Linked DNA regions of Callithrix jacchus. The protein of the gene in region 2 interacts with the protein of the main gene of each other region in a biochemical or structural test. Links are inferred from orthologs where the notes say so. Each region holds a gene or a part of one and is shown on either strand. Other genes may lie near its edges. The genes, in order: DDX17, EP300, CITED2, ETS1, SUB1, PPARG and SMAD4.

What was found.
Region 1: the proteins of EP300 (region 2) and DDX17 form a complex in vitro, tested with the Homo sapiens proteins (2 studies listed by BioGRID, with this or other methods). The link is inferred for Callithrix jacchus from reciprocal best matches to the Homo sapiens genes EP300 and DDX17.
Region 3: the proteins of EP300 (region 2) and CITED2 form a complex in vitro, tested with the Homo sapiens proteins (5 studies listed by BioGRID). The link is inferred for Callithrix jacchus from reciprocal best matches to the Homo sapiens genes EP300 and CITED2.
Region 4: the proteins of EP300 (region 2) and ETS1 form a complex in vitro, tested with the Homo sapiens proteins (2 studies listed by BioGRID, with this or other methods). The link is inferred for Callithrix jacchus from reciprocal best matches to the Homo sapiens genes EP300 and ETS1.
Region 5: of the proteins of EP300 (region 2) and SUB1, one has a biochemical effect on the other in vitro, tested with the Homo sapiens proteins (2 studies listed by BioGRID). The link is inferred for Callithrix jacchus from reciprocal best matches to the Homo sapiens genes EP300 and SUB1.
Region 6: the proteins of EP300 (region 2) and PPARG form a complex in vitro, tested with the Homo sapiens proteins (6 studies listed by BioGRID, with this or other methods). The link is inferred for Callithrix jacchus from reciprocal best matches to the Homo sapiens genes EP300 and PPARG.
Region 7: the proteins of EP300 (region 2) and SMAD4 form a complex in vitro, tested with the Homo sapiens proteins (2 studies listed by BioGRID, with this or other methods). The link is inferred for Callithrix jacchus from reciprocal best matches to the Homo sapiens genes EP300 and SMAD4.

The regions. Positions count from the first base shown.
Region 1 is NC_133502.1:209,415,800-209,419,299, forward strand, and holds part of DDX17 (putative ATP-dependent RNA helicase DDX17), read right to left. Parts: intron 901-3,500; coding exon 750-900; intron 1-749. UniProt on the Homo sapiens protein: As an RNA helicase, unwinds RNA and alters RNA structures through ATP binding and hydrolysis.
Region 2 is NC_133502.1:191,923,654-191,927,153, forward strand, and holds part of EP300 (histone acetyltransferase p300), read left to right. Parts: coding exon 1-591; intron 592-3,500. UniProt on the Homo sapiens protein: Functions as a histone acetyltransferase and regulates transcription via chromatin remodeling. Acetylates all four core histones in nucleosomes. Histone acetylation gives an epigenetic tag for transcriptional activation.
Region 3 is NC_133505.1:146,159,913-146,163,991, forward strand, and holds CITED2 (cbp/p300-interacting transactivator 2), read right to left. Parts: upstream 2,801-4,079; 5' UTR 2,565-2,800; intron 2,114-2,564; 5' UTR 2,106-2,113; coding exon 1,284-2,105; 3' UTR 421-1,283; downstream 1-420. UniProt on the Homo sapiens protein: Transcriptional coactivator of the p300/CBP-mediated transcription complex. Acts as a bridge, linking TFAP2 transcription factors and the p300/CBP transcriptional coactivator complex in order to stimulate TFAP2-mediated transcriptional activation.
Region 4 is NC_133511.1:28,155,287-28,158,786, forward strand, and holds part of ETS1 (protein C-ets-1), read right to left. Parts: coding exon 3,475-3,500; intron 2,536-3,474; coding exon 2,320-2,535; 3' UTR 1-2,319. UniProt on the Homo sapiens protein: Transcription factor. Directly controls the expression of cytokine and chemokine genes in a wide variety of different cellular contexts. May control the differentiation, survival and proliferation of lymphoid cells.
Region 5 is NC_133503.1:172,693,335-172,697,310, forward strand, and holds the start of SUB1 (activated RNA polymerase II transcriptional coactivator p15), read right to left. Parts: upstream 2,801-3,976; 5' UTR 2,386-2,800; intron 1-2,385.
Region 6 is NC_133516.1:69,515,757-69,519,824, reverse strand, and holds the start of PPARG (peroxisome proliferator-activated receptor gamma), read right to left. Parts: upstream 2,801-4,068; 5' UTR 2,686-2,800; coding exon 2,604-2,685; intron 1-2,603. UniProt on the Homo sapiens protein: Nuclear receptor that binds peroxisome proliferators such as hypolipidemic drugs and fatty acids.
Region 7 is NC_133514.1:94,286,049-94,289,548, reverse strand, and holds part of SMAD4 (mothers against decapentaplegic homolog 4), read right to left. Parts: intron 3,221-3,500; coding exon 3,101-3,220; intron 3,005-3,100; coding exon 2,888-3,004; intron 1,510-2,887; coding exon 1,459-1,509; intron 1-1,458. UniProt on the Homo sapiens protein: In muscle physiology, plays a central role in the balance between atrophy and hypertrophy. When recruited by MSTN, promotes atrophy response via phosphorylated SMAD2/4.

The DNA.
Region 1 (3,500 bases), about 17 Mb from region 2:
TCTGAAAGAGTAACCATTTCATTTGTAAAGTCCAAAACAATGATAATGAGGCACAACAACAGACAAATTTTGGCTGGGCACAGTGGCTCTACTTAAAAAAAAAAAAAAAAAAAAAAAATAGTGGGGCATGGTGACATGTGCCTGTAATCCCAGCTACTCAGGAGGCTGAGGTGGGAAAATTGCTTAAATTTGGGACGTAGAGGTTGCAGTGAGCCAAGGTCACGCCACAACACTCTACCCTGGGGGACAGAGCAAGACCTCATTTCAAAAAAAAAAAAAAAAAAGACAACACCAATATATTTTTTTCACTGACAGTTGAAAAGACATGACCTAATATATAATAGTTTCAATCAGGTATAATAAATAGATTAGGAAGCATTATCAACAAATAACAAATTAAATGCATATTTAAACTGGCCCCCTTTTATGAGGATTACTGATCTTAGTTAAGAATATAAGAAAAATATCAGCTGGGTGTAGTGGCTCACACCTCTAATTCCAGTACTCTGGGAAGCCAAAGCGGGTAGATTGCTCAAGCTAGGGAGTTTGAAACTAGCCTGGGCAACGTGGCAAAACCCAGTCTCTGGGGGGGAGGGGAAGGGGAGGTGATTAAGAAAAAAAATTTTTTTAAAAATATCACCACACTAGAATAAAATGTAAAACAGCAACATTAGTGTATGAATAAACTCTAACCACTATGTCTACTGGTTCAATAATCTGTACATTAAAACACACACACACAAACTTACTGGAGTCAGCCTTGCTACTTCCGGATGTTCCACATAAAAATTTTTCTCAAACTTGGGGAGCTCGCTCAAATCCCACTTTTTTTTACGCAAACGCTCCCCAGGATTACCAAATTTCTTCGGGGGGAGGCCACCACCACCTCTTGCTCCAAATCTAGGAACATCAGAATTTTTAGTTCATCAGTATTTTTGAAGTAATATATCTTACACACCATAAAAAGATTCAAACAAGATAGACTACTACCAGCCTACCTCCAAAAGACCATGTTATTCACTCCTATTTAAAGGTATGGAGAAGTGTGTAAAACTTCCTTTACTACCCAACAAGAGTAACTGTTTATGAGTATGGCTATAATAGGTGAAAAATAAAAAATTCCTGTATACATACTAAGGATTACAATCACAGATTCTGGAACCAGACATGGTTTGAGTTTTGATTCTGCCACTTACTGTATAATTTAATTATTTAACTTCTACACACCTCAGTTTCCTATGCAAGTTAGAAATAATACCACCTATTTCAGAGGCTGCTGAGAAAAAGATCTAATAATGTGTAATGTGCTATAAAAGTAACTGGCATAACAAGCACTCAGTACAAGCAAGCATCATTCCAGTCAACAAATAGTTATTAGGTACCAACTATGTATCAGTTACTATTTGAAGTGGTGCCGTGCTGGAGTTACTAAAGTAAATAAAACAGAAACAAGTCTCTACTCTTGTGTAACAGAGAGGCAGGCAAAGGATGACATTAGTTTCAGTTTCAGTTAAAGGCAAGATTGTGGACAAGGAAGAAAATACACTCCAAGCATGTCCCTCAGTCTTCTTGGGCCCTTCCCCCTTTAAACTGTGACGAGCACTCCTCGTAGACCGGTCTTCATTTTTAGCTTATTCTAATAAAAGAGCTGAACAAGCCACGTTCAGTGGCTCACAATCCCAGCACTTTGGGAAGCCGAGGCAGACAGATCACTTGAGGTCAGGAGTTCTGATCAGCCTGGCCAACATGGAGAAACCCTGTCTCTACTAAACAGTGGTGGTGCACGCCTGTAATCCCAGTTACTTGGGAGGCTGAGGCCGGAGAACAGCTGGAACCAGGGTGGCAGAGGTTGCAGTAAGCTGAGACCACACCACTGCACTCCAGTCTGGGAGACAGAGGGTGACTCCATCTCCAAAAAAAAAAAAAGCTGAACATACATTTATGACCTCTCCTTCTTCGTCTCTTTTACCTTGTATCTCCTCCTTGTTCCCAAACGGTATTATTAATGGACAGAAAAGCCACTAACAAGACTTATTTAAGGTTTTAAAAGTCAACTAATTACTTGAGATCAACTTCCTGCTTTTTACATACCTTTCACAACAAACAAGCTCAAGGGGAATACAAATATGACCACTAGCCTAAGCTAAAATTTAACAAATCAGAAGCTACTTTTCCTAGAAATATCTTAACATGGCCTTCATCTTCCCTATTTCAATCTTGTGAAGTGCAGGGCTGTGTCTGGCACACGAACTGTACAGCATTTTTTTCACTGACAACTTCTTTACTCATTGTAATATACTGTACTTAATTTAGGTTCCTTTTCCCACTCTAACCCACTTGTACCATCATCTCCCCACCCCAAGACAGAGGCTCACTCCGTCACCCAGGCTGGAGTGCTGTGGCACAATCTCAGCTCACTGCAACCTCCGCCCCCCAGGGTTTAAGCAATTCTCCTGCCTCAGCCTCCAGATTAGCTGGGATTACAGGTGTGCACCACCACGCCCAGCTAGTTTTTGTTTGTTTTCTTTTTTTTAGTAGAGATGGGTTTTTACCATGTTCACCAGGCTGGTCTCAAAAACTCCTGACATCATGATCTGTCCACCTCGGCCTCCCAAAACCAAAGTGCTGGGATTACAGGCATGAGTCACCGTGCCTGGCCATAACATCATCTTATATAAAGTTTCACTTTATAACTGACAGGCAGCAGGTGTATTATTCTATAGGGCCTCAATTTCCTGCAATTCAAAGCATTAGAACTCTGGCTTAACCAGCTATATATTCCTCTAAACACAAATATAACAAAAATTGATGACAGGAAAATTTTATTGGGATCACTGGATACCTACATTCAACAGGTAGAACGTGGCTAATTCTTTATACCACTGCTGAGGCAGTAAGACAAATTAAGAATCAAAACAGGAAGAGCACATAGCATTGGCATACACATGTCAACAACATCTTTAATGTACTCCTCGGCTTAAGGCTCAATAGTGCAATAGTGAACAGACCAAAAGGCCACCTCAATTGCCACCCCCTACACTTGCAAATGAAGCAGCTAAATAAGGCACTTTTCAAGAAGTACCAAGTCCTTGGATTACCACTCTCGCAAATTATAAAATATTCCATTGTTACTGCTGCATTGCAATACCCAAACCTCAATAATCTACGAAAAAATAAAACTTTTGAAAGTGATGTTCCTGGTAACGCTTTAAACTAATCATAACCTCATTACCATTTATGTATTTTTTCCTCTCTCCATATTTCTCTGGCTATTTAAGATATACTACCCTACACTATATATCTAATTTGAAACATGGAGTTCTTGGAAAATATGCTGTCTTCCATGTTTATAATTAATGCTGACATAATTAATGACCTCAAAATTGAAGAAAATCTTTTACTTTTGAGCATATCCATATCTTTAAATATACACATCGTACTCTGGTATAGTATGCTCCTGAAATGTTTTTATCCAGTCAGCAATTAACAGCTTAACTTGA
Region 2 (3,500 bases):
TTAATCAACTCTACAGAGTTGGGACTAACCAATGGTGGTGATATTAATCAGCTTCAGACAAGTCTTGGCATAGTACAAGATGCAGCTTCTAAACATAAACAGCTATCAGAATTGCTGCGATCTGGTAGTTCGCCTAACCTCAATATGGGAGTTGGTGGCCCAGGTCAAGTCATGGCCAGCCAGGCCCAACAGAACAGTCCTGGATTAGGTTTGATAAATAGCATGGTCAAAAGCCCAATGACACAGGCAGGCTTGACTTCTCCCAACATGGGAATGGGCACTAGTGGACCAAATCAGGGTCCTACGCAGTCAACAGGTATGATGAACAGTCCAGTAAATCAGCCTGCCATGGGAATGAACACAGGGATGAATGCTGGCATGAATCCTGGAATGTTGGCTGCAGGCAATGGACAAGGGATAATGCCTAATCAAGTCATGAACGGTTCAATTGGAGCAGGCCGAGGGCGACAGAGTATGCAGTACCCAAACCCAAGCATGGGAAGTGCTGGCAACTTACTGACTGAGCCTCTTCAGCAGGGCTCTCCCCAGATGGGAGGACAAACAGGATTGAGAGGCCCGCAGCCTCTTAAGGTAAGCACAGTTTTGATTTGTGTGCACATTTGGCACACATGAGTATTCCCATGATGGAGGGAGGGTTTGCCTTACATAGTGAAGCAGTTTCCACATATTACATGCCAGGAATTTACTGTGCTATCTTAAGTTTTAAGAAGTGCATACATTAAATTTAAGTAAAACATGTATTTTACAACTGATGTTGTATAACTTCATATTTCCAAGTGATCGCTGGCTAATGCCGTTTCTCTCTGGCACAAGCATTGGAATGTTTTTAATCTCATTTCCAAGTCCAGTTTAGCCTTGTAGTAGCATCATTATAAAAATACAGTTTGGAGGTCAGGCACGGTGGCTCATGCCTGTAATCCCAGCACTTGGAGAGGCCGAGGTGGGTGGATCATGAGGTCAGGAGTTTAAGACCAGCCTGGCCAATATGGTAAATCCCCATCTCTACTAAAAATACAAAAATTAGCCTGGTGTGGTGGTGCATGCCTGTAGTCCCAGCTACTTGAGAGGCTGAGGCAGGAGAATCACTTGAACCCATGAGGCGGAGGTTGCAGTGAGCCGAGATCATGCCACTTACTCCAGCCTAGGTGACAGAGTGAGACTCTGTCTCAAAAAAAAAAAAAACCAGTTTGGAGATAGCTGGCATTACACTGTCTTCAGATGGAGACTTCATTTGTTCCTATTGCTTTGAATGTCCCTGGTTATCAGGAGATATGTTTATTCTGAGAAATGTATTACTGTTTTTTTTCTTTATTGATGGAAATTAAGGTACATTTGTTTATGTGAAACCTCAATAGTCTGGATGTTTCAATGAAACCAGATCTTGGCCAGAGACTTCTGTTAGCTTTATTAACTAGAGAATGCTAAGTATATTATTTAAAATATTTTAAACTGGCCAGGCGTGGTGACTCTCACCTGTAATCCCAGCAGTTTGGGAGGTTGAGGCAGGCGGATCATGAAGTCAGGAGATCGAGACCATCCTGACCAACATGTTGAAACCCTGTCTCTGATAAAAACATAAAAATTAGCTGAGCATGGTGTTTGAGCCTGTAGTCCCAGCTACTCAGGAGGCTGAGGCAGGAGAATCACTTGAACCCGAGAGGAGATTGCAGTAAGCTAAGATCATGCTGTTGCACTCCAGCCTGGGCAACAGAGTGAGATTCTCTCAAAGACACTTTTAAATGTGTACCCTATGTAGACAAATAAGACATAATTACACGTACTTTAGTGTTTATTCCTCCTTTTTTTTTTTTTTCCCCCGTATTTCATCTTTTTTTTTTTTTTTTTAAATTGAATCACACTGTGGTTGCCAGTGCTTGGCATGTAGTTACTTTTTGTTGAATTAGAGATGGCTTCACTTGGAAGATGGAATTGGAGATAGATATGATTTTCACAAGGAGTCAAGAGAAAACTTTCTCTGTAAGAGGAATAATTTGAGCAGACATTAGGACTTAAGCGTTCCCGAGAATCTTGGGTGCAGTGGCTCATGTCTATAATCCCAGCACTTTGGGAGGCCGAGGCAGGAGGATCACTTGAGCACAAGAGTTAGGGAGCAACCAGGCAACTTTGACCCCATCTCTATTTAAAGAAAAGAGAGAACCTTGACGGTGACAGAATGCAAGTGTGAATTGAAGACAAATTGACAAACTTGTGTTGAGGGGACTGAGGTCACATGTAGGAATTCAAAAGCCTTAAATGTTTTTTTGCTACAAGAATATTGACAAGTTAGGATTAGGTTTTAGCATTAGTGCTTTGTAGAGTCTCCCTTTCTGTCCCCCACCCCCACCACTTTTTTTGTTTTTTTTTAAGACAGATCTTGCTTAGTCACCCACGCTGGAGTGCACTAGCCTAATCATGGCTCACTGCAGCCTCAACCTGCCAGGCTTAAAAATCCTCTCGCCTAAGCCTCCTGAGTAGCTGGAATTGAAGGCATGCACCATCATGCCTGGCTGATTTTTTATTTTTTGTGGGGACGGAGTCTCACTATGTTGCTCAGGCTAATCTCAGGCTCCTCCTGGACTCAAGTGATCCTCTTGACTCGGCCTCCCAAAGTGCTGGGATTACAGGTATGAGCCACTGTACCCAGCCTCTTGACACTTTTAGATTGTTGTGTCAATGTGGTTTACTTACAATATTTGGAATGAGAACCAGAAACAACAAGGTAAATTATTAAGTACCTTTTAAAAGATCTAGAAACCTAGCTATAAAGAGATAAAATCCTTGCCACCAAGGTTTATATTTTGCTATGGAGAGGAGGGATGACAGACAACCCTCATTGGTTGACAGAATACTGTAGTGTATGAATTTACTTCATGTAACCTACTTTCTACTATGCACATAAGATATAAATTTAGAGTATGCCCGGTAAATGCTATGGAGAAAAATTAAGGCTCATTGACAACTGCTTGGGAATGTGGCACTATTCTGGTTATAATCTAAATTTCTTTTAGAAACTGGGTTTATATAGAAGTGAACAAAACAAAAATCCCTATGCTTGTGGAGCTTTTATTTTGATGTGAAGGAGCAATTCAAATTTTAAACTTTCATTAAATGATATTTTATTTCCTCATTTTTATTTTTATCTTGAGACAGAGTCTTGCTCTGTTGCCTATGCTAGAGTGCAGTGAGACAGTCTTGCTCTGTTGCCTATGCTAGAGTGCAGTGGCATGATCTTACCTCACTGTAACCTCTGCCTCCTGGGTTCAGGTGATTCTCCTGCCTCACCCACCCAAATAACTGGGACCACAGGTATGTGCCACCATTCGTGGGTAATTTTTGTTTTTAGTAGAGTAGGGATTTCACCATGTTGCCCAGGCTGGTTGTAAACTCCTGACCTCAAGTGATCTGCCCACCTTAGCCTCTCAAGTGCTGGGACTGTAGGTGTAAGCTACCATGCCTGGGCTTATTTCCTTTTTCTTTAC
Region 3 (4,079 bases), on a different chromosome or scaffold from region 2:
CCCATCCATCAGTATATTATTCTAATCTACCTCCATTTAAGTAGTTCAATCAGGTATAAACAGAAACACTTCATTTTTCCCTCCTGCCCATTGAAAAAGATAATGTTGAGTATTGCAAACCTTTCTAACTCTGGAGTACACTTGAATATGATGGCAATTAAGAAAAAAAAAAGCACTATGACAACTTTGCAGCTTTTGATTAAAGCACACCAAGAGGCATGTTACAATGATAACAATGAAGCATTATGCCAATTATGTTAAATCCTGCTCTCCGCTTAAGCTCATCATGACCTGTTTTAGTGTCCTGTAATTTATCCTTTGGAATGCTTACTCTCATCAATAAAGTGTTCAACTTGGGGGGGGGGAAAAAGCCACCAAAGAGAACCACCACCCCCCAAATGACTTCTAGAAAACGAGTTATTTCTTAACTTTTTATTGACATTGGCAAATTAAAATAGAATAAATTAACAAGTATTTTTTCAAAAAAATGTTTTGTACAAAAATACTGTCAAAATTTCCTAAAAAGCTTTCAACACAGTAGTATCTTTTCATGTACTGAATATAACTATTAGCACAGTGTCAAAAATGTTGAAGACAGAAACAAAATAAAAATCTGTGAAATGTTTGCCACTGACGACATTCCACACCCTATTATCATCTGTACATATGGGGGGGGAGGGAGAGACAGCCAACTTGAAAGTGAACAGTATGACTTTTCCTGATCCAGAACAGTTTGGCCCACATCTGTTTAATCTTCCAGTTTAGCATATTTTAAAAATTAGTCTGTACTCAAATGCATAGTTAAAAAAATGAAGCGAGATGGCAGAGTTTGTGCAGTAATATCTGCCCTTCAAAGTTCATGCAACCAACTAATGCAATTTTTCCTTTCACTCGTAAATCTGAATGCAGTTCAGTCATTTGAAACCATCTACAAAATCCACAAGATTAAGAAGTTTGCCAAGATTAATATCTAACAGTTGAGCACTGAAGAAAGTGAGGGAAAGGAGTAAAAACAAACAACGAAAAAGACCAAGTTAGCTAGATATTTCAACTACATAAGGGAGGTGAATGTCAAGGCTGCAAAAACGAAACAAAAACAGGGAAAAAAAGTGGCAGCAATTTTTTTTTAAACCAATTTGTACAAGTTTATAGTTTACTTTGTTTCCAAGTTCTCAAACCTTTCAAGATCTGAAAAGTGAGATACTGTGTCTAAGGGAATGTTTCTTTTAATTCACACCGAAGAAGTTGGGGGTTTGATTTCTTTCGCCGGGGTTTCGATCGAGTCAACAGCTCACTCTGCTGGGCTGCTGTTTGCACACGAAGTCCGTCATAAAATCAAACTCGTTTTGCCCCAGCCAGAGTTCGGGCAGCTCCTTGATGCGGTCCAAACCCATTTCTATCACCAAGGACATAAGAACTTCCTCGTCGATGAAATCAGTGTCTATGACATTGGGCGGCAGCATTGCAGCAGGGACGTGGGCCACGGAGGCGGGCATGTTGCTGCTGCCGCTGCCGCCGCTGCCGCCGCCGCTGTTGCTGCTGCCCGCGCCGCCGCCCGCGCTGCCGCCCGAGCCGCCGGGGGTGCTGCTGCCGCCGGAGCCGCCGGGGGTGCTGCTGCCGCCGCTGTGCTTGGGGTTGCAATCTCGGAAGTGCTGGTTTGTCCCGTTCATCTGGTGGCCTGCAGCAGGGTGCAAATCCGGCATGTAGTGGTTGTGGGGGTAGGGGTGATGGTTGAAATACTGGTTGTTGAGCTTCTGCAGCTGCATGCTGGCCGGCAGGGAGCCTCCCTGGCTGGCCACCGGGGGGGCCATGAACTGGGAGTTGTTAAACCTGGCCGCGGGGGCCAGTGCGCTCGGGGGGTGCCCTCCGTTCACAGTCCCCGGTCCCATGGCGTGCCTGATGCCGCTCGTGGCATTCATGTTGCCCGCGCCGTAGTGTATGTGTTCGCCCATCAGGGCGTTGAAGGCGTGCTGGGGCTGCTGCTGCTGGTGGTGATGGGGGCTTGGGAACTGCCCCATGCCCATGCGGTGGGCAGGGTGGTGGTGCAGCCCATTGGTGCCGTCGGGGAAGCGCCCGTGGTTCATGGCCATCATATGGTCTGCCATTTCCAGTCCTGGAAGTGAAAAGGGCAGACGATGAGACCCGCGCCACACGTGTCGCCCACCACAGCGCACCCCACTGTTGCCCGCCTCTGATTCCCGGGCGCACGTCGGCTGCGAACCAACACCCCCAAATCCCACTAGCAGCCTGTGCACCCGGGCTCGCCACCAAGGAGGACCTGCCACTCGAAACACAGCCGGGCACTACACAAACAGCCCCTTCCCCTGAGATCGGGCGGGAGGACCCTAGCCCACACCCCCCTCTGCTCCCCGAAGTGGCCTAATAAAGGAAGTGCCCCGTAGCCCTGCCGCGAACTTCAGGCATTGAATCAGCCCTCCTCATCCTGTTGTTGCACATCCTGTTGTTATTCCCCAGCTTCGCCTCACGCTCTTCCTCCGGGCAAACCCTGCCCTCGGAGGACTGGGCTGGCAGGAGCCCCAGCCAGCTTCGCCCGTCGCGCTTACCTTCCGTTTTTGCGATTTCTGCTCCGAAGACAGAGGGCGGGATCGTCGGGTCCAGGACCGGCTCAGCAGCACATAGAGGGGGCCTTCCTGGCGTGCAGGGCGCTTCGCTGTCGCGATGTCGGCGCCGAGGTCTCGCAGCGGCTGCTGGGGCAGATTCGGAGCCGTTCCCTTTTATTTCCCCTCCGCTGCTCTCACAGCTCGGTAGGAGCGCCCGGCAGCTGCCAACAATGAGCTGTGTTTCTTAGGGCTTTGGCCACAGTTAATATAGCATTTCTTGAAGGGCGGAGCGAGAACCTCCAGGGCGGGCGGCGCGAAGACGCGGATTCCGGAACAACACGGACACCTGGACCGGGTCCGGTGGCCGCGGCCCCGCTGCCCGCGGCACGTGCGCAGAGCCTGCGGGCCCGTCGCCCCCTGGCTCTGGTTTCTTCCCGGCCCAGAAACGCGAGGTCGGCTCAGCCACCCCCGGGGCAGCGGGGAAATCCTCCCCGGCCGCCCCGCCCGAAGGTAGCGCCTGCCCGGAGTGGAACGAGGAGAGCTCACCGCCCGCCTCTGGCCGGATCTCCCCACCCCCAGCTCTCCCACTCCGCTCACCTAGCGATCTGTCTGGCCCTCTACGGGAAAAGGGGACTCGCCCAGCGCCCCCGCCCTCCGGAGTGCCCTTCTGCCTCGCCGGCTTTGCCAAAGCTTTCCCAGGCTGCGAAGAATGGCTGTGCGTCCTCGTAGTTGGGTTTTAAAGACCCGGACAAATAATGCGCCCTTTCTTGAGCGCGCTTTCCTGGACTGTGCCTTTGTGTTTTCATAAGGGCAGTGGGTAGACCTACTCTAGATCACTGCATGTAGATGCCTTTTTTTCCTCCACTCCTTTCAAGGACAGGAGCTGGGGGCGGGGAGCGGCAGCGGCTGCGGCTGCAGGTGGACCGAGCGCGCTCGCGGGCCCGGCCACCCCAGATCCCGCACCCTGGAACTCCAGCCCGCGCTTTTGGGCCCGCCCGCCGCTCCCGGGGTACGTGTGCTTCTGCTAAGTTTGCGTTTGCTGCTTTGGTAGCTTTGGCATCCGAGCTGAGGCGTCTCTGCTCTGTAAACAAACTCAGCGATCCTCGTCCCCAGATCCACCTTTTTGCACATACACAGTTACTTGCTTCTGCTGTTGCCCTGGATCCGGGAGGTGGGGGTGTGTGCAAACTTGCACAGCTTCCCTCTGGGCTCTGCTTGACGGTTTGGGGTTGATTTAGAAGCAAACGGGTTTGTAATTAAGAAATTCGAGGGCTGAGTAAGGCTGCTGTTGCTGGAAAAGGAAAACAAATAGATAACATGGTAATCACTTTGTAAATAAAGTCGTTCTGGAGGTGGGCACGTAGCTGCAAGTCCCGTATGGCACCGCGCGCACACACACGGCTGGGACTCTTCCTTTTCAGTGAAACTGTTCAGTGGGGCAATAGGCGATAATAATAACCTTGCTTCCAGAACGCGGCACACGGAGACTGGTCTCCCGTTTGGTTCATTGATTTGCAA
Region 4 (3,500 bases), on a different chromosome or scaffold from region 2:
GAAATCTCAGGTATTATTTCAGCTGCAGTTTTGCATGTCTGCAAACACACACACACACACACACACACACCACTCACACACATGCACACATTCACACACACCTTTTGCCAGTGCCCAACAAAATCACGTAATCTAAGAGAAAACAATGTAGTCCAAACAGTTCCACCCAATACTCCCTGAGCAGCTCCTAAAATATTTTGAGAGCTTCATTAAGGCACCTGCATCCAAAAGATCAAAATACACAGCTGGGATAATTCTGCCTTTGCTTTCCATGCAGACGCTCCAATTCATCAGTATGGGGACACTCATGAATCACAGAACTATATGTTCCTGATAATTCTGGGTCTTCAAAAGGATCTGGGAGTAAACAACAATGAACTTTCTTGAAGATATACTAGAAAGTAGTTAGTACTTCCTATTTCTCATCCAAATCCCAAAAAGGGCCTGCCCTGAGAAGCACATCTAAAATGTTTCTTCCCTTCTCTCATGGAAGTCCATAAAGCCGCCCCTCTTCCTCATCCTTTCAACTGGGCAACTACAGAGTGAGGAGATTCTAATTGTGTTAGGCACTTTTCCTCACTAGTTAGATGTTGATTTTCCCCCTGAAACTCCATTTTCAGATCCACCCTCACAACCAGAAGAAAGATGACTACCTTGCTTGACTATGTTTGTATTTAAACTTTGGGGGAACTAAGAAATCTATTCAAATCTCATGGACAACCTTATTTTCTTCCCTGAACTTCCTTCCTTTGCTTCCTTTGCCTTCAAAGTCATTCCTCTCTTCTGGAATTAACCTTCACTTACCCTGTGCCAAGACATCAGCCCCAAGCATGAGGCCCTAGCACCACCTGTACCATTCACTTTGCATACACTGTCTCACCTGACATCCCACCACACTAATTTAAATTCTTCAAAGGAAAGCCTTGCACTTCTCTTCCAAAGACAGCCAAATCACATTTTATTGAAATGTTCTCTTAATTCCCATCGCTTCTAAAACTCAGCAGGTCTAAAGTCTTCAACTTATGTCATGTCTCCAGTTACCCTTTCACTCATCAATCAGAAAGCCGTACATTTCTCTCTACTGAATAACAGAGTGGGGGTGGGGTAGGGGGTGCAAAAAATGGGAGGATTCTTGGAAAATAAGACATGAAAGAAAAATTACAGAGTGTTAATTTAGAACAACATGCATTCAGGACTTACTTCTTAAGACCTGAAGGGTAATGCCCATGCATACAGCTTTTATTCCAAGTCATCTATGCTACAGGTATAGGACTAAGAAAGAACCAAGTCGATCTTCCTCCTTCGATTTCCTTTCCATGACTTCAACAGTGCTCCTACGTTTACTGTGGTCCAAAACCAGGGATGCAAAATACATTCAGTTCAATGACTTAATGCTTCTTAACTCAACATTAAGTCCAAACCCCGAGAATCCACTAATATCAAATAAGTAAAGGGATGTGACAATACTTTTTTAATTGTAGATGACATTCACACACATCATTCCCCTGTACTCAAATCAGCATGAATTGTCCTTCTTTTATAAATCCCATGAATTTGGGGTCCCTGATCTCAGTGAGAGCGTTTTGCTTTTCCAGTGGGGTCTATATAAACAGTTTTCTTTCACTGTGACAGAATCCTCAGCCGGCAAATAAAAACAAACTTACATGATATTGCAATACTGAGACCACCTTAGAGCTTAAGACGATTTTTAAGAAAAAAAATACTGGCACAAAATTTAATACAATAAATTTGAACACAACAATGGTTTTGGCCCCTCCCCACCGAAGTCCATCTTTGTTTCAAAACTAGAGTGAAAGGTAAATAGTTCTCAGTTTTGAGTACATCCCACCCCAAAACATGTTTCATCCCACCCACCTCTTTTTTGCCCTCCCAAATCTAAAAACAAAAGCAAATTAATTGCCTTCCATCAGTTTCATGAGTTCTGATGTGACAACGTCTCTTGCTAATGGGTCCACAACTGAAGACACTTTTTCATGGTTGACTTTTAAACATGATTGGACACATTAGTCTCTTCCTCTCTTAAGTCAGAGCCTTCAAGCTTCTTCTCAGAAGACCCTTCTTCCTCTCCCGAAAATTTGCTCAACAATTTCTGGTCCTACCCACCCCACAAGTCCTGGCTTTCCTTTTCCAACTGCGCACAATTGATTACAGCTGCAACTGACTTAGCTCCCACCCCTGAAGGTAAAAAATGAGTTCTAGAAAATAAAAAATAGAATAACAATTAAAAATTCAAGAGTCCAACCAACATGGCTGTCCTGGGAAGGTCTCAGCAGGGTTCCCCCAGCCCCTTCAGTGCCATCACTCATCGGCATCTGGCTTGACATCCAGCATGGCGTGCAGCTCCTCAGGGGTGTATCCCAGCAGGCTCTGCAGGTCACACACAAAGCGGTACACGTAGCGTTTCCCTGCTGTCTTGTGGATGATGTTTTTGTCGTAATAGTAGCGTAGGCCACGGCTCAGTTTCTCATAATTCATCTTAGGTTTGTTTTTCCTCTTTCCCCATCTCCTGGCCACCTGAAATTTAAAAAGAAAGATTAAGGAGGAATAGGTAACAATCTACAAGATTGGCCAAATATATATGTTTGTATGCCTATGCTCTATAACCATGATACTCAAGTAAGACAATTTGAGATTCATGCAGATATAGAAAATATGCTTCTAGTTTATCTCTTCTGAATTCCATTTTTCATGGATGGATCGGGCAGCGATGGGAGTCACAATGATTCTTTCAGTTGATGAAAACACAATGACCCTAAACTTCTGTGGAATAGGATTAAATATTTGACTTAAAACAAACAAAAAGAAAAGCCACACTATACACTCTCCTCTTTCCCCACATTATTAGTAAAATCTCCTTGCTTTGCAAACATGAAATCTAACAGGTGGGTGTGAAGGGGAGGGGCTGAGCTGCAATCACACCTGCCTTTCATCAACAGGAAGTGTTTCTTTTTCCCATACCAGGACATAAATATTTTCTCCTGTCTGCCAGAACAAAGATATTGTCTCTCTTGTTCATTTTTTTTAACCCTCATAATTGGGCGTGGCACAGAATCACTGCTCCACAAGCACGTGTGTAATGAAAGGAGAAACTAATGAGCCCATCTCCCAAGGCCTCTTGAACTGTCTGGCCCCTTCCACACTCACAGAACCACGGAGCTAGGAAGAGGCTGAGTCACTAAGGCAGCTCTGTGGGTGACGGCTGACCTGCTGCCAGGCACAGTAATGCCTCCTATCACTTAATCCTGTAAGACAAATGGGTAACATAGATATTTTCTCTATTTTCCAAATAACGAAACTGGGGCTCAGACAGGCTGCCTAGCTTGCTCCAGGAGCGGCAAGTGGAAGAGCTGGGATCCCAATCCTGGAAAATGTCATTCAGATCCACACAACCCCTTGTAGGGGTTTTCTCTCATCCTTCCTCAGCACAGAACTCACAAGCCCCTCCTTCCTTACCTCATCTGGGTCAGAAAGTTTGAATT
Region 5 (3,976 bases), on a different chromosome or scaffold from region 2:
ACAAGTTACATAGTTCATTCTACCATTTTTGTGGAACTGGAGTTGTTATGAGCACAAGTATTTATCTATACTCTTCTAAGTTGCAAATAACATGCAGGGTGAACCCATTAAGAAAAATGAACTAAATGTCATACACTCTACACATCTAACCTTTCTCCAAGCCAATGGATCTTTCTATACTTTGTTTTAGTGGCAGGACACACTACGGGTAGGGTAGACTGCAAGAAGGCAGCAGACAATTACTGTTAAAAACAGAAAATAAATGTAATTCTACTATCACCGCTTTAGACTTCTCACCAATGAGATCAGAACTAATGTAAAGTTATTCACTGTAGGGAATGGACCCCAACATTTACACAACAGGGAACTAGCTGTACTATGCAAATGTGACATCTAATTAATTTTTCCATATATTTATTCATATTTTACATGTTAATTTTGACTGTTTAGACGTATTACCAAAATAACACGTACTAATTCAAAGTACACAAAATTATACACAATTCAGGCCAGGCACGATGGGTCACACCCGCAATTCCAGTACTTTGGGAGGCCAAGGCAGGCGAATCACTTGAGCTCAGGAGTTCCAGACCAGCCTGGTCAACACTGTAAAACCCCATCTCTACTAAAAATACAAAAATTGGCCAGGAGTGGTGGCAAGCCTGTAGTCCCAGCTACTCAGGAGGCTGACGCAGGAGAATCACTTGAACCCGGGAGGTGGAGGTTGCAGTGAGCCAAGGTCACATGCCATTCACAGAAATTCATTACATTTTACACTGATTTTTTTCTACTCTGGAACACAATTAAAATTTGAACAGCCTATTTCTGTGAAGGGCAAAACCTTCTCTCAAATTCCTACCCTGCTGGTAGCTCCCCTGGTCCCCCCAGAGATATACATAGCTAAGTGCCTTGCTTACAAGTGGATGTTTACTAAGTGCAAGTTTGTAGAAAGCAAACTATCATCAGTAAGCCTAAGACCCAAATTTCAAGGAATTCCAAGATATGTGGATACCTCTTTTCAAGGCACTAATAATACCAGATCGCAAATGCCAATTATCAAATAACTTTGCTCTCCCCTTTTCAGAAGAGATTAGGTCCTGTTAACCCACTTATGCCAGTGGTTGCAATTTTTTGAATTTTTGCAATCAGACCTTGGCGATGACCTTGAGCAGCAAGACATAAATAACACCCACATGCTTAGCGTTCCAATAATGGAACACTAGGCATAAATGGGTAATTTCTGTATGCCTTAAAAGGTTTAATAAACACAGTACACACTATATTTGCTGAGTACAAGAAAAAAAAACTTAAATTCCTCCTGAAAATAAAAAAATCATAAATGATCTAGCTCTCCAGACGAAACCTGCATTAGAACTGACGTTGCATGTGTTCCTAAATAGCAGGTCAAGGTAAAAGAAATGGGCCATCCCAATCCTGGCCACTCAATTCAAAGAGCTCAAACCATGCCCAACCCAGACATGCTGATTTTAACTGGTGATGTCTTGAAGAGTAAATTCAGAAGGGAAAAGCAACGTTCATGACCACGTGTTATCCATTTTTCCTATTTCTGCTCCATTTTGCAACCTAATCTCCAAAATCAATTTAGTTCACTTTTTAATGCTAATACAAATAAAAAAAGATCTTTTTTTAAAAGGTAATTAAATTGAACATAATTTATTTTTCACTTTGAAATGGTGGAACATAACTACCGTCTGTTATTAAAAACTGCCTGGGGGCCCAAGAACTTCTCAAAGAACCACCTGGTATTCAACCCAAGAAGTCCACTGGAGAAGAAAAGTAACGGTAACTAAAGCCAGCCTCTAAACTTTCAAATACATTTTTACCTTAACGAGCCTGTTCCAATGTGGGGGGTGGGGGGGAAGCAGCTTGTAATTCAAGTAATTGACACTGAAACCACTATTGTAGAATTTATGCAAAACGCAACTTTAAAAAGAGAAACGAAATCTCCAGCCTTTGCTGACTGAGGGGAAGATGAGAAAAAAACGAGGTGAAAATGAACCAGGACTTAAGGGCACACAACTTCGGTATAACAGAAGGATGACAAGCGCAAGACCAGGGAAGGGGTCGTGCGGCCCCAGTAAGCCGCTAGCACCCCGTGGCTAGCAGCCGCTCTGGCGAGGGGAGACAGGTTGGTCAGAGGGGGCGTGGGAGGCGGCGAAGTGCGGAGGAGACGGCGTGGGAAGAGGCGGGACTTGCACCAAGCGCCATTTTCTTCTCTCGAAGCGTTCCCTCTCCCCGCACATCAGAGCTTCTTCCCCTGGCCTCCTCCCGCCGCCCACTCCCGCCCGCATCCGCTTTCCCAGTCTCCAGAGCGCCCCCTCAGGGCGAGGGCCGGGGGAAGAGCGGGTACCGCACGCGCCCCACCTCGGCCAGCCGCCTCCGCATTGTCCCGGGGACGCCGCGACCCCCTCCCCGCGGCTCCTCGCCCCCGAGACGGCCTCAATCCGCTGCCTCAGGCCGCAGCGCCTGCCGCCTTGAATCGGCTCCCGGAGACCGGTGTATAGTGCGGAAGGGTCCACAGAGCTTCAGGCACGGAGTCGGGGACGGAGGAGGGGGCCTGGAGACGCCGAGGCGGGGAAGGGGGAGGTAAGGCAGAGCCGCCATTTCCCGCGGCTGTTGCCGGCTAGGGGAGCAGAGGGCCGAAGGCAGCTCACTGCCCGGCTGGGAGGGTGGGGTGGGCTGGATAGGGGCCCCGAGGAGTAGGGGTAGAGGGTTCCGCGCACTCACGCTCCGCTCGGCTCTAGCAGTCGCACACTCTCCTGCTCGCTCGCTCGCGACTGACAGAGAACCGGAAATGACGGCAGCCAGGAGACGCAGACCCCGCCCCGCTGGGCCTGCGTTCACGTGATGGGGCGTGGCCTCCCCACTGAAACCAACACTTAGACCCTTTCCAGGGCCTTAAAGGGACCGCCTCTTTTCCCAATGGATGACGGCAAAGTCAGATGTTGGAAGATTACACCTTACCGGTGAAAGAATGAAAGAACTAATATCCTTCCTGTAGGAGATGGCTTAAATAAATAAATAAATAAATAGAACATGAGTGACAAGCGCCAAGCGTTTCACTTGCTCAATAAATGATTTAATGAAGCGGAGGGGTCATAATGAAAAAATCAATACTCTGGTCCATTTTCCCAGATATGATCTTCCTACCCCACTTTACCCACCTCAGTACATGACTCTGCCTCCTAAATTCCAAAGGAAGGAAGCTAAAGTCACAGCGTTTAATTCTAGGAAGTGCAAGAAATCTTTGGAGTATGCCTTATTCCTGTATTGAGGTCCTGGAGATGTAAGGGAGTTCACAGAAGACAAGAGAAATCCATATACAAGCAGCAATATAGCTAAAAGATTATTTGAATATGTATTTGAATGAATGCCTCTTGCAGCTAATAATCAATACAAAGGTATATCTGTTAACAAAGATTTATCAAGAACCCACTACGTGTCAGACACTGCATGAAGCAATTTACTCATCCTAACAAGCACATTCCAAAGTAGGAATGAGTATTCTCTCCATTTTATAGATGAGGAAACCAACGTTAACACCCTATGGAGAGGGTATTTCCTGTTACAGCTGAAGTGTGAATTAGCCTTAGGTTCCCTCCCTCCTATTTTCTTAAATCCTATTCTCCTGCCTCAGGTAGAGGAATGGTATGGGATTTTGCAAAGTAGAGATGGAATCCTGCCAAAGCTCAGAATTGCACACCAGAGATGCTACAGAGGCTGAGGAAGGGCAGTGGGTTGCAGAATGGGAGGAGTGTTTGACTCTACATGTGAAGCAATTAGACCTATGGTTCCCACTCTTATAGGAGAAGAGAGTTATATATTCCCCGGAAAAATTAAAACTGGGGTTGAAATGTAATGGGGTTGAGAGGCAAAGAATACATGGGATAGAATTGAAGTCTGAACACTAAATGTGAAAGCATCCCCCACACATTCCTTTCTAGAATTACTTGAC
Region 6 (4,068 bases), on a different chromosome or scaffold from region 2:
AGGCCAGAGAAGTAAAATGAGGTGCTCAAATTCACACAGCAAATATGTGGCCAAGACAGGATTCATCCTTATGTTCCCTGGTACTACAAAGATCCCTTTAAACTTCTGAAAAGGTAAAAACTTTGGTCAGTTATCTAAATGTTTCTGAGTCTATGGTTGCCTGGAGCTATGTAACCACAGATTAAGTATCACTTGATAAAAGTGGTGTGCAATCAATCACTCACTCCTATCTCAGGAGAGACTCGTTTTGAAGGACTATCTATTGCAGCATTTATCATGTCTCTAAGGCATATTTCCATTGCTCAATCAGCTCCAAAGGACAAGTGTGTCATCATCCTTCAAGGCTCTGGTGCAACAACTTAAAATTGTAGAATTCACACAGGACTAGGTCTGGCACTAAAAGCAGAAGGCATATTCAGCTTGAGCTTGTGGAAGCTTCCCTTCGATCCTGCCAATTTCTACTAGTGGAAATGGTTTCAAAGCCAGCATGAGGTTATTTGGGGTTGCTTGAGGAGCTCTTGATAAAAAAAGAAAAGGGAACAATATAAAGGGGTCACAGCAATGATGGAGCCTTGGAAAAAGTATGTAAGTCTTCTTTGGGCATAGTGGCTAAGTGTAGTTGAGATTTTAACCTCATGAATATACTCAATCTACCTGGACATCTGAGTCATTCACACTAAATGTGCCACTTTTTCTTCAGTAGCAGTACTCAGCCATTTGCAACAAACCCCAATTTCACTTTGTCTATGATGAGGAAGAAGGAGCAACTAAGTGGACTACGGTACCCAGGTGAAATGCCTCATCTTCACAGTGTTCCAACTCCGCTGGCCTTGGCTAATGATGATCAGATATCCAATTTATTTTTGTCTGATTTGGAAGGGATGGAGTAATTACTTAAGGGTCATTTATAAAATGTAATAGGAGTAACAATCATAGATCTTTGGCCATTAGGAGCTCACATTTTTAATAGAGAAGCAGTGCTTATGAAGACAAAGTAGCCAGAGACCCTATAAGACAAGGGTTAAATTATTAGTATAAAATATAATGTTTTAATTGCTAATAATTCTATTCTGTATTATGTTAATTAGGAAGAAAAGTACTACATCATTCTTTTAGAGGTAATTGAGACTCAAAAAAAATTAAACTCAGGGTAAATTCAAAGCATAAAAATAGAGATTAGCAGAGAATGAAAACTAACTTGAATCACACAACCATCCTCACCACAAATAGTACTTGCCTCTCAGTTAACCTATTTGTTGATATTTGTTGTACTGCATTCTAGACATGTTCTTTTCAAATAGACAAAACTATCAAATTTTGACTCAAGAACTATTTCATAGTATAGCCAGGACATTTTGCCCTGAGGCAGGCTAAATTAATAACTGAAGAAAGATAGCAACAATTTTTATGGCTTGCAGAAAAACAGAATAACAGCATTTTATGGAATAAAACAAAACTCCTATTTAAGAGGCTTAGATGATATAAATATATGTTGAATCAAATGACTGTAATAAAACAGTATTTCAGGAAACAATTTTTACTAGTTTTTAATAAGCTTGATATTTTAAAAACTATGATTAATATGTCCAAACTTAAGGCTTCCAGGAAAATTAAAAGGTTAAAATGTAAAGTCATCAATTTCAGCAATTAAGTGATTTAATTTTAATGCTTTAGCAGTTATATTATAAAACATGAATCACACCAGTTAACAATCTATTTTTACACAGAATCTCCGAGAAGAGAAAAAGAAAATGAATAGAAATATAGACATCGATATGAGACAATACCAAACAGTAGAGGTGGTGCTAAGAAACTCCAATAGAAGAAGCCATAGAAATTACATTTTGCAATGGCCAGGAAAGAAATATTGAAAAGAAGGTATCTGATTCTGACATATCTGAAGAGAAGTAATAGGTAATCACTTATTTAGTATGCAGTAGGCATTTAGGGACCTCATTTTCTTCATGTGTAAAATGTGATGCTTGGAACAGATATTTTTCAAGGTTCCGACAAGCTATTCTTCTACAATGCATTAGGCATTATGCTAGGAGGTATCCTAAGAAATCTAATGAAGAGCATCACTTGGCCCCATACTCTGGGAGCTTACAATTCTTTGGGAGAGCTAAAGTGCACACACAATTATCTAGATTTAAAGTAGAACAGAAAAGAGCTGAGAGTACTTCAAGAAGAATAAAAGTGCTGCAAGAGAGATAAAAACAGTTATGAGAGATCTGTAACATACAAGATGAAAGGAGGAAAAAGTGACCCTTCAAGTCTAAAGAGCCCTACATTTTCTTGGGAAATGTATGCAAACTCAGGAAATAAAATGAACAAGATTTTTTGGATATATCTTTAATGCTTAAATTTCAGGAAATGGAAGCCATGCACAGAGATAAAATACAGATTAGCTTAGGTTTTCTTTTTTAAGGTTCAGAATATGTTTTTAAGTGAACACCATAGCAGCAAGCTAAGCATTAAAATACTGGAGTGTACACATGATAATATTAAAACAAACATGACTTGGAACACAAACTACAAGAGCAATTTTACCCTTACATAAATGCCCCCATGTCCCCAGTAGCCGTATCTGGAAGAGACTTTACCTTGTGATATGTTTGCAGACAGTGTATCAGTGAAGGAATCGCTTTCTGGGTCAATTGGAGAATCTCCCAGAGTTTCACCCATAACAGCATGGAATAGGGGTTTGCTGTAATTCACACTGATATTTTGTCTATATCTAGCAAAAGATCAATCCGTTGAAAGAAAAAGACTTGAAGTAACAGAATTTGTGAATACACCCATCAGTTAAGACATCAGTTTCCAAATATTTGGGAGAGATGGGAATAAACACAGAAAGGACTGGGCCTGAATTGGCTGGCACTGTCCTGTTAGGAGCCAGCTCTGACAAAATGTTGTGTCATAATGTTGTTCACTGCTTTGGCAAGACTTGGTACATTACAGGGAAAATAATATTGCCACACTGTCTCGCCAGTGACCCACATGCTGAGTGTCTTGTGAGGGGTGTGAACTGTACAGTATTTAGAATTATAAGAGCGGAGACTGTTCAATATCGCCTTGCATTTTTATTGTCATAAAATTCACATCAATTGCTTATTAAATGGAAAACTTTAAATCTCTCGCTTATGAAATACCAGAAAGCTTATTTGGGCAAAGTTTTCTTTTGGTGTCTATTCCTGGTTGAATCTCTAATCACATTATCTGAAGAAAACTTTGGAATTCAAATATGTATCCATAGTTTAAACATTGGTATCAGCATGCTACTGAAATGTTATATTCCTAAGGTATTTATTCTACTGTTTGTGAAGCCCAAAATGATACTGACTGCTATCCAAATTCTGTAAAATTAAATAGTTGAGAGAATGAAGAAGGGTTTGATGTGGTTTCAATTTTATATGTCACAGTTTGTTCTCTTAAAAACTTCAGCTTATCCATCAATTGCAACTGCAGCAATGTTACATCAGTTGATGTCTGAACATCAATTGATGTTTAAATGATAAGTGCTGTGTCATAATGAAAAAATGGAGTTCTCTGTAAGAAGAACACACTACCAGAAAAAAATAGACTTATACGCTATTAGGTTGGCGAGGAATTGTGGTCAGTTTTGTAATCAGGAAAAAAGCTGGCTTCTTGCTCAAGGCCTTTGCCCTTTTTGGCAAGGAGAAACACTAGCTGTGCCAAATTACAGATGTGGGAGCAGGTCTTGTCACATGAATGGCCTAGTAGAATTGCAGTGACATTGCAGATTTTCAAAGACGCCCCTACACATGGCAATTAGTACATTAGAAGGCAATAATTCTCTGAATTATACTTATCTTGAGTAAAATAAATATATATCTGGTTAATCTACGTTGAGTAACTATTCATTCTTCAGGAGGACTAGTAAAAGTGTCCCTGTCAATCATGGTGCAAGAGCTTGATGGTGAAATGCTCGCCAGGTCTGAACAGTACAGAATAAAGTAGAGAGTTAGGCAACTGTGCCGTTAAGCCCCAAAACATCTTTATTAAGGCAACCCAAGTTAAAGCAAAACTTGGGTTTGCTAATTTGTC
Region 7 (3,500 bases), on a different chromosome or scaffold from region 2:
CATTGGCATCAGAGTATGAAAACTAGTTTTACTATGCTCACTAGCAGTAGATGTGATAGTTTAACAAACTTTTTGCTGATTTAAGAGGCAAATATTTGTTCTAGTTAGGAAAAAAGTGAGGCTAGTGGGGCAGAAGCATTCTTTTAACAATATATATTTATTATTATCTTCTTTAATGGATATTCCGTGTTTTATTGTATACATGTAAAAACGATTTTAAACATTTTTGTAGGTCAAGGGGTCTAGCCTTTTCATAAACACTTTGAGAAATGTAATATACAGAAAAGTACATAACACAAGTAAGTATAAAGTCTAATTTCACTAAAACTAATACTCATGCAACCACTACCCAGATTGAGAACTAAAACATTACAGCACCCGAGAAACCCTCCTACCCCACGAATTTTATCTCTGTCAAGACCTTCTCTTCCCTTCTCCCCAGAGGTAGCCACTGTCCTGCTTTAAATTGATTCACTTTTCTTGTTTTATTTTTAAATTTTAATTTAAATCTCAATATATATTTTTTAGATGGACTCTCGCTGCCACCCAAGCAGAGTGCAGTGGTGCAATTCAGCTCACTGCAACCTCCACCTCCAAGTTCAAACGATTCTCCTGTCTCAGCCTCCCAAATAGCTGGGATTATAGGCACCCACCACCACACCTAGCTAATTTTTGTATTTTTAGTAGAGATGGGGTTTCATCATGTTGTCCAGGCTGGTCTCAAACTCTTGGCCTCAAGTGATCTTGCCCCCTTGGCCTCCCAAAATGCTGGATTCCAGGCGTGAGCCACTGTGCCCAGCCATTTTTTGCTCTTTAAAGTGATGAATGTATTCCTAACAGTCTAGTTTAATAATCTGGCTTTACTTGTTTTTTAATTATATAAATGGAATTACTATATCAGAATCTTGATTCATGTGAATGAATATATTGTGATAAGAAGGAAAATCTACAGTCTGAAGAATGAGAACTTTTTTTGCTGGCAGCATCCTTGAGAGTCATTAGTGGCTCCTGGCAACTTAGGGATCTCAGTGTTTGTATTGCTTAGTCGGAGATAGTCTACAGGAGTGAGGGCAGTCACGGCTCTGAAGAGAGACCTACCCTAGATAGAATCATAGGTGGGGATAGGGGTGGAGCCATTTAGCTAGTCATTTGGACCTCTGTTTTTGATTCAGCAGTTGCCTTTGGCCTCTTAATAGACTTAATTCATTCTTTTCATAGCAGAACTGGTGTTTAGGCCCAACATCTCCTGGTGGTTAGAAAATAGCATTAACTAGTTGAGGTCATGCATTTATAGCAGTATGCATTGACATTAAAGCCTCTCTTTGATTAACTCATGTCATGATGAGTATCGTACTTATCTGAGAAGTGACCCTATAATTAATTAAAACCTGTGTTTGTGCATTTCAATCACTACTAAATCAATCTAAATATAGGGAATCAATTTTTAAATACACTTACCAGGATGATTGGAAATGGGAGGCTGGAATGCAAGCTCATTGTGAACAGGCCCTAAAGAAAAGACAAAAAAATTCCATTTTTATTTATTAAAAGTTGTCTAATGCTAAAGCTTTTGGTAAATCTTACTTAAATATAACTATTATAGGTTAAGAGTTGTTAAAAACAAGCTTATGCAACGTCTAAGAACTTAAAAGTTTAAATTACTTTACAATAAGCAAATCGTATTGAACTATTAATAATTTTGTGGCTATTTAATAACTAATATTTTAGTGCTACCTGCCACGTGCTATTACACAATTTATACATAATTTTACATCCAGTATTTAATACAGAATATAAATGAATTATTCATGTAATGTGCAATACAGTATAATTTATAGTGCAATGTATAATAAACTGTGAGATCTATCCTAAAAAGAAGTGCTTATGTTAATTAAGGATGTTATATAATGAAATTATAGCTAACATAATTACTATGTGTTAAGACACTGTGCTAAACACCTCACACAAATTATTACATTTACTTCTTACAAACACCCCTTGAGGTAGATACTACTAATATTACTCTTGAGGCTTAATGAGGTGAAATAACTTGTCAATGGTCACAGAACCAGTTAAAGGTCCAAACCCAACACCCTTAACCACTATAATGGCCCAGGGAGCCATTAAAAATTACATTCTCTTAGAAAATAAAAAAAATAGTAACATAACTGAAAAGAAGCAAGATATATACAATACACATATAGTAGGAGCCCTCTGTCAATTTACATATACCTGTTTATATGACTGGAAGGAAAATGACAAAGTATTAGAAGTGGCTATTTTTGAGTAGCAGGATTCAGGGTAATTTTGCTTTTCTTATTTACCCTTTTCTACATTGTCTAAGTTTTCTTTGGTACTATTAATATTATAATGAGATTGATTTTACTAAGCCATATGAACAATGCTCCTATTCTATCTGAAACTAGAGGCTATCTGTATGGTACTCCTCCCAATCATGCTGGCACAGAGTTATTGATAGATTCAACATTATCCAAAGTACACTGAATACTATGCTGAGGGAAACCTTGAGAACTTAGTGCTCAAAGTGTTTCAATCCATTATGGGTGGATATACAAGACACACATGAGATCTAAGAACACATATACAAAGCAAACAAACAAATGAATGGAAATCAATGTGATGTTAATGAAACATTGGCAACAGAGAAATAAATTCATTCAGCAAACATTACTCCTCTAAAATAAAAAGGTATAACTATGAAAAATAATACTGTTCACAAAAAATACTGAAAAGCACTATTTAATGAAACAAAATCACAGGATGAATAAAAGATGTAAAACCATTTAAAAAAAAAAGAAAAAACAAAACAAAGCCCTACCAAAAAAAAGAGAAAAAAAAAGCCCTTACAACAAAAACAAGAGCTTACAGTAATGTCCGGGATGGGGCGGCATAGGCGGGTGGTGCTGAAGATGGCCGTTTTGGTGGTGAGGCAAATTAGGTGTGTATGGTGCAGTCCTACTTCCAGTCCAGGTGGTAGTGCTGTCTAAAAATTAAGGCCCACATGGGTTAATTTGCTTTTATAAAGGCTGCCTACTTTTTTCTCAACTATTTAAAAGATTTTTTTAAAGCATGTACATACTATGATGGTAAGTAGCTGGCTGACCAGTAAATCCATTCTGCTGCTGTCCTGGCTGAGGCCCTGATGCTATCTGCAACAGTCCTTCACTATGGCTGCCCCCCAGTATACTGGCAGGCTGACCTAGAGGAACAAGAAGACATTAACACGGTACATTCATAGATGTCATCTTATGATTTCATATACTAAATGAAGGACCAATTGTATCTGATAATGCCCACAACTATAAAGATGGGCAAAAAGTGTAACTCACCCACGGCCTATCAGGTAAAAAACCTGAAGTCATCTATAAAGGCAAATCCTAACTTGATGAAGCTCAAAATTATTCCATTTTAGGTCATTTTCTCGCTAATTTTAGTGGCTTACTTCTTCACAAACATATTTCAAATGCCAGCAAAACACC